2 linked regions of the Rattus norvegicus genome follow. The protein of the gene in region 1 interacts with the protein of each later gene in a pairwise test. Links are inferred from orthologs where the notes say so. Each region holds a gene or a part of one and is shown on either strand. Other genes may lie near its edges.

Region 1 (4,267 bases):
ACTCTTGTCTTGCATCATGGCATACTTGGAGATGACCTCATCCAGCCGGCTCATGGCCAAGGTTCGATTCTCCCGAAGGCGGCGAGCCAATGTGGGATCGGTGAGTGCGGGGTCAACGCCTGTGTGGGGAAACAGGGTCAGAGCAGTCAGTCCCAATCCTAGAAGGGATTAGAGCTGCCTCTGTTCCACCTGAAATCATCCCAGGAGCTTCCTACCTGGCCTATAGTCATCTGTGAGGTGGCAGCCAAAGTTATAGATGAGATCCAGGTGGCGGCGCTCCTGTAACCTGACACCCACATCCCGGAAGGCATCCTGAGCCAGGAGCTGAAGCTGCTGTCTGGGAAGGCCCAGACTGTGCCGGGTCGCCGCCTTCTCCACCGCTCTCAGCACATCTCCATAGTCCGGAAACGTGTCAGGCCCCGGCTTGTTGATGAGCCGCTCGATGCGCCTGTTGACCTCTGGGTATCGAGTGCCTCGGTAAGGAATTCGCTGCTCTATGACCCTCCCAGTCAGAGAAGAGCAGTCCTTCAACTCGCACAGCCGCCCAAAGAGGCGGATCAGTTTCCGCTTCAAGCGGGCCTCCTGCAAATAGGAGGAGTCGGGATCATCCAGTTCTGACAGATCCAACTCCTTTTCCTGCAGCCGCTGTATCTCTGCGACATACAGTGCCAGCAGCTGCTCCAAGCGCTGGATCTGCCTCCGGGAGCCTCGAGTCCTTGAGGCCTCAGAGGCAGTGGTTTCGGTGTTTGTAAGGTCAGACGGGGGATCTGTGGGAGGGTTATCACCCGATGATTCCGCTGAGGCTGCGGGAGCTAAGTTCAACTTCTTCTTGATGGAATGAGCTTTAAGGACAGTGCAGAGCTCGTTAATGTAGACGTAGAGCTTCGCTGGCCGGTTCCGAGACCGAGACAGAACCCTGGAGAGGATGTTGCGGAACTCTGCAGAGGCCAGAAAAGCGGACTGAGCACGCTGCTGCAGTTTGTGGAGGAACGGAACCACCTCAGGGTGGTCCGATGTCTGCATCTTACACAGTTCAAGGAACTAAACGGTTCGGGGGAAGGGACGGGAAAACCAAAAAACCAAAAAAAAAAAAAAAAGAGGGAATCAGTGAGGAAGCCAGAACAATCAGCCAATCAAACACCCCTTTCCTTGGGATCTGCCCAATCACATCATAATGGTTCACATCCTTTTCTTTTTTTCTTTTTTTTTTTTTTTGGTTCTTTTTTTCGGAGCTGGGGACCGAACCCAGGGCCTTGCGCTTCCTAGGCAAGCACTCTACCACTGAGCTAAATCCCCAACCCCCACATCCTTTTCTTAAAAAGATGTATTCTATATATGAGTACACTGTAGCTGTCTTCAGACGCCAGAAGAGGGCATCAGATCCCATTACAGATGGTTGTGAGCTACTATGTGGTTTCTGGGATTTGAACTCGATACCTCTAGAAGGGTAGTCAGTGCTCTTAACCACTGAGCTGTCTCTCCAGCCCAGTGATTCACATCTTGAATCCCAGCTGTCAGGAGGCAAAGGCAAGTAGAACTCTGTGAGTTCAAGGCCAGCCTCATCTAGACAGTTCCAGGCAACCAGGGCCACAAAGCGAGACCCTTCTCTTAAAGGAAAGGGAGCCTTCCCTGAAGCTTACCTCTTCAAACAGCTTCTCATTCTCCAACTTGTAGCACTTCCTGCTACCTGAGTTACTGCTCCCTCCATCCCCATGGGACTCAGAGGGACCAGAGGCTTCTGGTCCTGGTGAGACAGGATTAGAGGCTGGGTTGGAGGGTCCTGGCTGAGCAGCTGCTTCATCTTCATCATCATCGTCAAGCACAATGATGCTGTCATCGGTGGCCATGGGGGATCAAATCCCCCTGAGGGAAAAAGTATTTGAAAGGTCAGAATTCTGGAAGGGAAAGGGTGACTCAGGAAAAGCCCCTCCTCCTTAGTCCCACTCAGTCAGATACCTCAGGGTTCACAATAGCCTCGTCCTTTCTGAGATGTCTTCAAAGCCTGTCTTTTGCAACTATCAGTCTCAGGCAGTTCTGAAGGGGAACCTCCCCATCGATCGTCTCAAGTCCCAAATTTCAGCCCCCAGTCAATTTCCTGTCTTTCGGTTGCGTTTTCCCCACTCTCTTGTCAGCTGGTGAGTTTTTTCTTCCTACTCCCAATCCGATGGGGTATAAGATCCCACACTGCTCTCTCCGTCTACAGAAACCAACACCCAGTCGATACCACCACATGGGTTTGCCCACCTCTCGCCCTCCATCATCACAGTCCCCTCCGACTTCTTCCTAACTCCAACTCTTCCACTCCGAGGTTAAAGGGTTTCCCTCTGAAGAGCCTGGTGTCCTTCCCGCTCCTACAACCATCTCCATGTTCCACCTTCCACAAACCCGGACTTCAGGCTGGAGATTTTTCACCTCCAGTCCCCTCCCTCTCACCGCACCCAGGTTTTCCCCATTCTCTGTGACTCGTAACCGACAGCAAGCCCACCACTCAGCATTCCCAATGTCTGGGCTTCCAGCCCCAGGCGAGGACAGTCTCCAGCCTCAGCTTCCCGCCAAGTAACCCTCTCCGCGTTCAGCCCTAGGCCGCCACATTCCCCTTCAGGGCTAGCAAGGTACCATACAAGCTCGCCCCTCAGACTCCGCAGCCAGGCCGTGCGGATCCTTCGCCTTCGCCAACTCCTGCGCCGCCACCCCGGCTCCACGAACGACCTGGCCCCCACCTCAGAAACGGTCTCTCGAGGCTCCCCTCAGCGCGGATCACAAATCCTCGCAAAGTTCCCTCCGCCTTCCTTTCCCCCACCCCCACCTCAGGCCCTACAACAGACCGGAAGGCGCGGAGTTTCCGCCTGCAGCACCTGAGGGCGGCCATATTGCTGTACGGGACCTAGGCTTCTTGGGACCGGAAGTGACGCGTGGCCCGCCCACCTAGGCCGCCGCTCCGGGTGCACTGACACTCAGGGGGGCGGGGCCTGGGACCAGGTAGATGGGGCGCGCCACGTTGCCGTACGGCACCAGCCAGCTCCGCGAGGCGTGGAGCTCTTTGCACCAGGAGCTTGCCAAAGCCACTCGGCCAATCAGAAACTTCCTGCCCCAGACCTGCCCTCCCACCCCACGCCATCGGCTGGAGGGCGGGGAAGACCTTCCCATCCTTCCATCCGAGCAGGTACCTAAGGAGCTGGTGTGTCTATGGCTGTGTAGGGCTCCAGGGAAGGAAATAAAGGATTTTCTTTTCCTGTTGGTGTAAGCCTGGCACTCCCTACTTTGCTTTCCCTCCGACCAAGAGTTCCACCGCCTGGTTGCCTATGCTTGCCCTTCCCTTTAAGAGCCGGCGTGCACTTGGAGGCTGTCCAGCCCGGGCCTCCTGGGTCAGGTGCACACACACGCACACGCACATATGCATGCATACAAATGAGCACAGCATGCTGCCCGAGTGAGGTATTGTTATTATTGCGGTCCGCGAGACTGGATGCTCAATCTGCACCACAGACCGAGCTCCCTACTGGGAACCGTGGCCCCTGTTCCACCGAGGGTCGTCTTGACTGTATGGAAGGCAGTGCTTCCGGGCAGGGGTCTGCAGGGCGTTGAGGCGGAGCGCGGGATAACCTGGTGCGGGCTTGGTGAGAAGCCCTGCAAGCTGCCGCTGGGAGCGCTGGGAAACGAATCGAGGCTCATAAAATCACGCGGGGTGTCTTCCTTCTCCTGGAGAGCTGCGGAGAAAAGGAAGAGGGGAAAACAACTGTGTGATGCCGGCCGGGCCCGGGGTGGAGAGGCGAGGCCCTCAGGTGTGCTGACGAGGAAGCCTGATAAGTCAACACCCTTCGCGCGGAGACTGCATCAACGCGGTCTTCCTGCCTCAGGTGGCGGGCATCTTACCAATGTGCAGGACCAAGAAAAGCCCAGCTGCTCTCGGGGCTGGGGATTTAGCTCAGTGGTAGAGCACTTGCCTAGCAAGCACAAGGCCCTGGGTTCGGTCCTCAGCCCCCCCCCCCCCAAAAAAAGAAAGCCCAGCTGCTCTCAAGAGAACCCGAACTACAAATTTAAACCCACTTCTTCCTCGCTTCCCGTCCGGTCTTACGGCTTTCAATGGGGGCGGGGGGGGGTTTCCAGTGGCTAACGGGACTCTAAAGATAATGAAGGTTTTAATTTTCATATCCTTGGGTTTCTCAAAGTGGGTTTCCCAGAGTGAATGCCTGAAATGAAGGTTCCCCACCTTTTCACAATTATTTCGGTTTTATGTGTGTGCCGGTGTAAGTCTCTGCATGACATG
Region 2 (4,268 bases), on another chromosome or scaffold:
GGTCCTAGAGATCCTGCTTTACCCACACAGAGCAGCTCACAGCAAGCAGGCAGCAGAGCACACAGCCCACTCTTTAAATCTGACTCCTATAATAGACCTGAGGCACTTTTAATGAATGAAATGCCCTTCTGCAGAGTTCTACAGCCCTTGAGAAGACAGCCCAGAAGCCACAGGCATCTTGGGAATAGAGGAGCTCCCCTAAGATACAGTTTAATTTTAACAGCTCTGCACTGGAAACTCATACAGACAAGATGTTCTTTTCAGTAGAATTGAGAGGGAGAGGGAGAGAGGAAGAAAGAGCACCCCAGTTAACTCCTACAGTCATGTATCTACATGTGGTTCTTGTTCTGTGAAACCTTTATTACGAAAATTCACTTAAATAGGATGCAACTATTTTAAGTGACTTTTCAGCAATCTGTGGCTTGAATGGGAGACCTCAATATAGGCTGGAACCACTTAGAATCCAAAAGAGGGAGGAAAATCCAAGGGTCCTGAAGCTTGGGTATCACTGGGCAGGGATCTGGGACTACCTTGGACCCAAGTCTGTCTTCCACCTGTGGAATGCCATCTAGGGTCAGCGGACATTGGCAGTTCAGTTCCCAGGCTCTGGCTGGGAAAAGTCAAGTTTCACACTGTGGCTGATATAGTAAGCCAAACCTTTAATGGTAGCAGTAAAGCAGTTGACAGTGTCCTGCACCTCCACTGCACTTACTGGGTGGACTCCATGGAAGAAGAGCCTGGTGGCAGCCACTGCAATCCTTAGGCCTCAGGCATAGAAGATGAGCTCTGGAATCTGTCCACCCTGAACTCCAGTTCCATTGGTACTGTCCGAGGAGCACTGGAACTGGAAGGCCACCTTTCCACACTGCACCTCTGTCATTCCTTCTTGCCCAAAGTAGCTGAGCTCACTGCCATCCAGGACAGCACTGGCAGTGTAGAAGGTGTCCTGCTCCACCTGGACTGGGTGCTCAAACCAGACAGGGAATGTGTTGCTGGATCCATCTGAAACAAACTTGGTGAGGTTCTGAGCCAGGACCATCCCTAGCCGCTTGAGTTCAATCTTCACGCTGTACTCAGCCTTCCCAGAACTGGACCCATATAAGCCCAGCCCAGCAATGAACACCCTTCTGTCCACTGCAAACTGGATGCTGTCACAGCGCCCACGGTACCTCCACTGGTTACTTCGGTAGGCAGAAGACTGGAAGCGGTGGCACCTCTGTGGAACAAGGCCCTTCCTCTTGGTCAGGGGGAAGTCAAGGGGGGGTTTTTTGGCAGCAGTGTACCAAAGGAAGATGTTGTGGGTCTCTTCTAAAGTCAGGATATCTGACTGGGCAGGACCATTAGCAAACTCCTCTAGTGTCATAGTTGGAATTCGAACCAAGTAGAGGGCTCGTCCCAAAACATGCCTCTTGTTATGAGGAGTGACTGGGAGGCCCTGTCTCTTGCACTCTGCTTCAGCCCAGTTCAGGACAGCCTCGAAGACCACAGCCTCCTTGGTATTGAGGGCCTCCCTGGTCACAATGATCTCCAGTGTCTGCCGGTCAATTTCACAGAAGCCTTCAGACCTCAGGGCCATTTCAGCCTGTGCATCAATGACTTCCCAGCATCGCTGGGTCAGTTCAGGCTCCTCAAACAGTCGGCTCTGGGACAGCAGGACACAGGCGTTTTTGGCTTCCAGACTTGTTTCCAGAAAGTTGACACAGGCCTTGGCTAGGGCAGGCACAATGTACTTCTTAGCAGCATACAGAGTGGCAAGCACTGTGTCGGCCTCCAGATCAATCTCATCGCTGTACATGTACCTGGGTAAGGCAGGGACTCTCCTGGGGAGCTGCAAGGGCTGAGGAGCTCATGGGCTCCCCTGCACAACCTCTTGGGTTGTAGCAAACATGAAGGGGAACATTGGAAGGTAACCACCCCATCCTTCCAGACCCAGAGCACAGCACTTACTTTAACAAGACCAGGAAGGCAGCAGGCTCCACATCAGGAATGTGGATTTCGGACTTGACTTCTGCAAGATCCCCGTAGAACATAGCATAGAAGACCGAGCTGCCGACAGCTAAGACATACTGTGGATGAAAGAAAACCACCTGAGCAACAGGGCAGTAAAGAAGGCCCAGGGAGACGCCCCTAGCCAGGCTCACCAGGGGACAGGGCTGCTCCTCTACCCACCTTGTGGGCGGGCACACGCCTGGCTGCCCCCAGGGCCCCCACGATGAAATGGACGTCGGCCATCAGCTCGTTGTTGAACATGAGCGCATTCCTGCAAAGGGCAGAGGCACACGGGCTGGAACGGCGCGCGCCCAGGCTCCAAGGCCCGGGGGCGGGCGGCGGCTCACCTCTCGCGCAGCGTAGGGTGGAATGACTGCCAGTTGGGGCTCTCGGGATTGTTGTTGTCTGGCAAGGGCGGCGCGGGCAAGGGTGGCAGCGGGGCGGGCGCCAGGCAGGGTGGGCAGCAAAGGCCAACCTTCGTGCTTTCGGCCGCGCCCGCCGCGTTGCTGTTGGCGATGTCGGTGGCAGTAGCTGCAGAGGCACCGGCAGGCGGGTACAGTTCCGCGGCCATCTTCGCTCCTGCCGGGGCGGCCTCCGCACTGGTCAGTACTGCGCCGCGCGCCTTCGCCCCGCGACGGGGCCTGGGAAGCGGCTCTGCGAGCACCAGCAGGGAGGTTAGGCACTGCGCCACCCGCCCATGCAGGCAGGCGAGCGGCAGCAGCATGGGGCCGCGCTGGCCCTGCCCGCCGCCCACCCGCACCCCACACCCCGCACCGAGCCCGCGGCCGGGCCGCAGGGGGCGCCGTCCCGCCCGTACCCTTTGCTGCGGCGCCGGCGTCTCTCGTCACTGTGCGTCGAGACGCGGCTCCTCGTTCCAGGGCCCCGCCCCCCGGGGGAGGGGAGGGAGTGCTGAAGCCCCGCCCGGGTGCCTAGGTTTAAGGGTGGATTGTGTAGTAGCATGTTCTGACTCTGAAATGAGATTTATCCAACAGCTCAGGTTTTGAAAAAGAACTTGACCCAGCCAGCTTTTCTCCGTGGACGAAATGAGTCTTAGACGCAAGGCTTAATCTTCCCCTTTTGTGTCTAGCTTCTTTTTTGTTGTTGTTGTTGTTGTTCTTTTTTTCGGAGCTGGGGACCGAACCCAGGGCCTTGCGCTTCCTAGGTAAGCGCTCTACCACTGAGCTAAATCCCCAGCCCCGTGTGTCTAGCTTCTTTAACAAAGCATAAAGTCAAGGGCAGTAGACATTTTAGTATGTCAGAATTTCTTTTTCTTTCACGAATCCGGACCTCATGTGCCTCTGTGTGGCTTCAAACTCTGTATGTAGACCTTCCTTTTTAAGTTGATTATTCCAATGTGTTACGTTTTATTTGCCAGTTTATCCAGCCAGTGGGGGGACTGACTCCAGAGTGGGTTCCATATCCCAGCTGTGATGACCATAGAAAGGCAAGTTATCCTTTCCAGACCCTAATTGCAATTCTTTGGGTTTTACCTAGAAGTAAAGGTAATACAGGCTGGGAAAACAAGGTTTACTGTTACATGTAGAACTATGACCAAACTAAAGGTGTACACATTAAAAAGACAACAGCGGGGCTGGAGAGATGGCTCAGCGGTTAAGAGCTCCGACTGCTCTTCCAGAGGTCCTGAGTTCAATTCCCAGCAACCATATGGTGGCTCACAACATCTGTAATGAGGTCTGGTGTTCTGAAGACAGCTACAGTGTACTCGTATACATTAAATAAATAAAAAGACAACAACGAAAATAATAGCAAAACCATGGGGCACACAGAGCAATGATTCAACATAGGTGAAAGTAGACACGATAACTTCAGACTTCAAAGAATCAGCATAGCAAAGGAGCTTGTCCACAGACAAGGCCACCACAAAGAAGGGAGAAAATATCTAAAGAGCGCAGTGTAGAAAAGCAAATGGATTAGACAATGGACAAGTGACTTGAGCAGATGCTTCTTTCAAGAAGACACACAGATGACCAAGAAACATGGCAAGCTGTTTGATATCAACAATCAAGATCCCACCTCAGCCACTAGCATAACCTCTGTAAAACCCAGAATGTTACAACAAGGTTTAGCCATGATAGAGAAAAGAGTCTGCACACTGTGAAAGATTGAAAAAATAATACAACCATTAAAAAAGGCCATTGCAAAGTTTGCTCAGAAAAGTAAATGGAGCTGGGCAGTGATGGTGTACACATTTAATCCCAGAACTCAGGAGACACGGGCAGACAGATCTGAGTCTGAGTTCCAGGACTGCCAGGGCCACA

Evidence for each region.
Region 2: the proteins of Daxx (region 1) and Btbd6 interact in a two-hybrid assay, tested with the Homo sapiens proteins (2 studies listed by BioGRID and IntAct). The link is inferred for Rattus norvegicus from reciprocal best matches to the Homo sapiens genes DAXX and BTBD6.

Annotation. Positions count from the first base shown.
Region 1 is NC_086038.1:4,974,921-4,979,187, forward strand, and holds the start of Daxx (death domain-associated protein 6), read right to left. Parts: upstream 2,801-4,267; 5' UTR 2,721-2,800; exon of another isoform or gene 2,617-2,720; intron 2,198-2,616; exon of another isoform or gene 1,957-2,197; intron 1,864-1,956; 5' UTR 1,848-1,863; coding exon 1,641-1,847; intron 1,042-1,640; coding exon 216-1,041; intron 120-215; coding exon 1-119. UniProt on the Homo sapiens protein: Transcription corepressor known to repress transcriptional potential of several sumoylated transcription factors. Down-regulates basal and activated transcription.
Region 2 is NC_086024.1:137,877,734-137,882,001, reverse strand, and holds Btbd6 (BTB/POZ domain-containing protein 6), read right to left. Parts: upstream 2,801-4,268; 5' UTR 2,714-2,800; coding exon 2,337-2,713; intron 2,261-2,336; coding exon 2,170-2,260; intron 2,067-2,169; coding exon 1,948-2,066; intron 1,800-1,947; coding exon 767-1,799; 3' UTR 340-766; downstream 1-339. UniProt on the Homo sapiens protein: Adapter protein for the cul3 E3 ubiquitin-protein ligase complex. Involved in late neuronal development and muscle formation.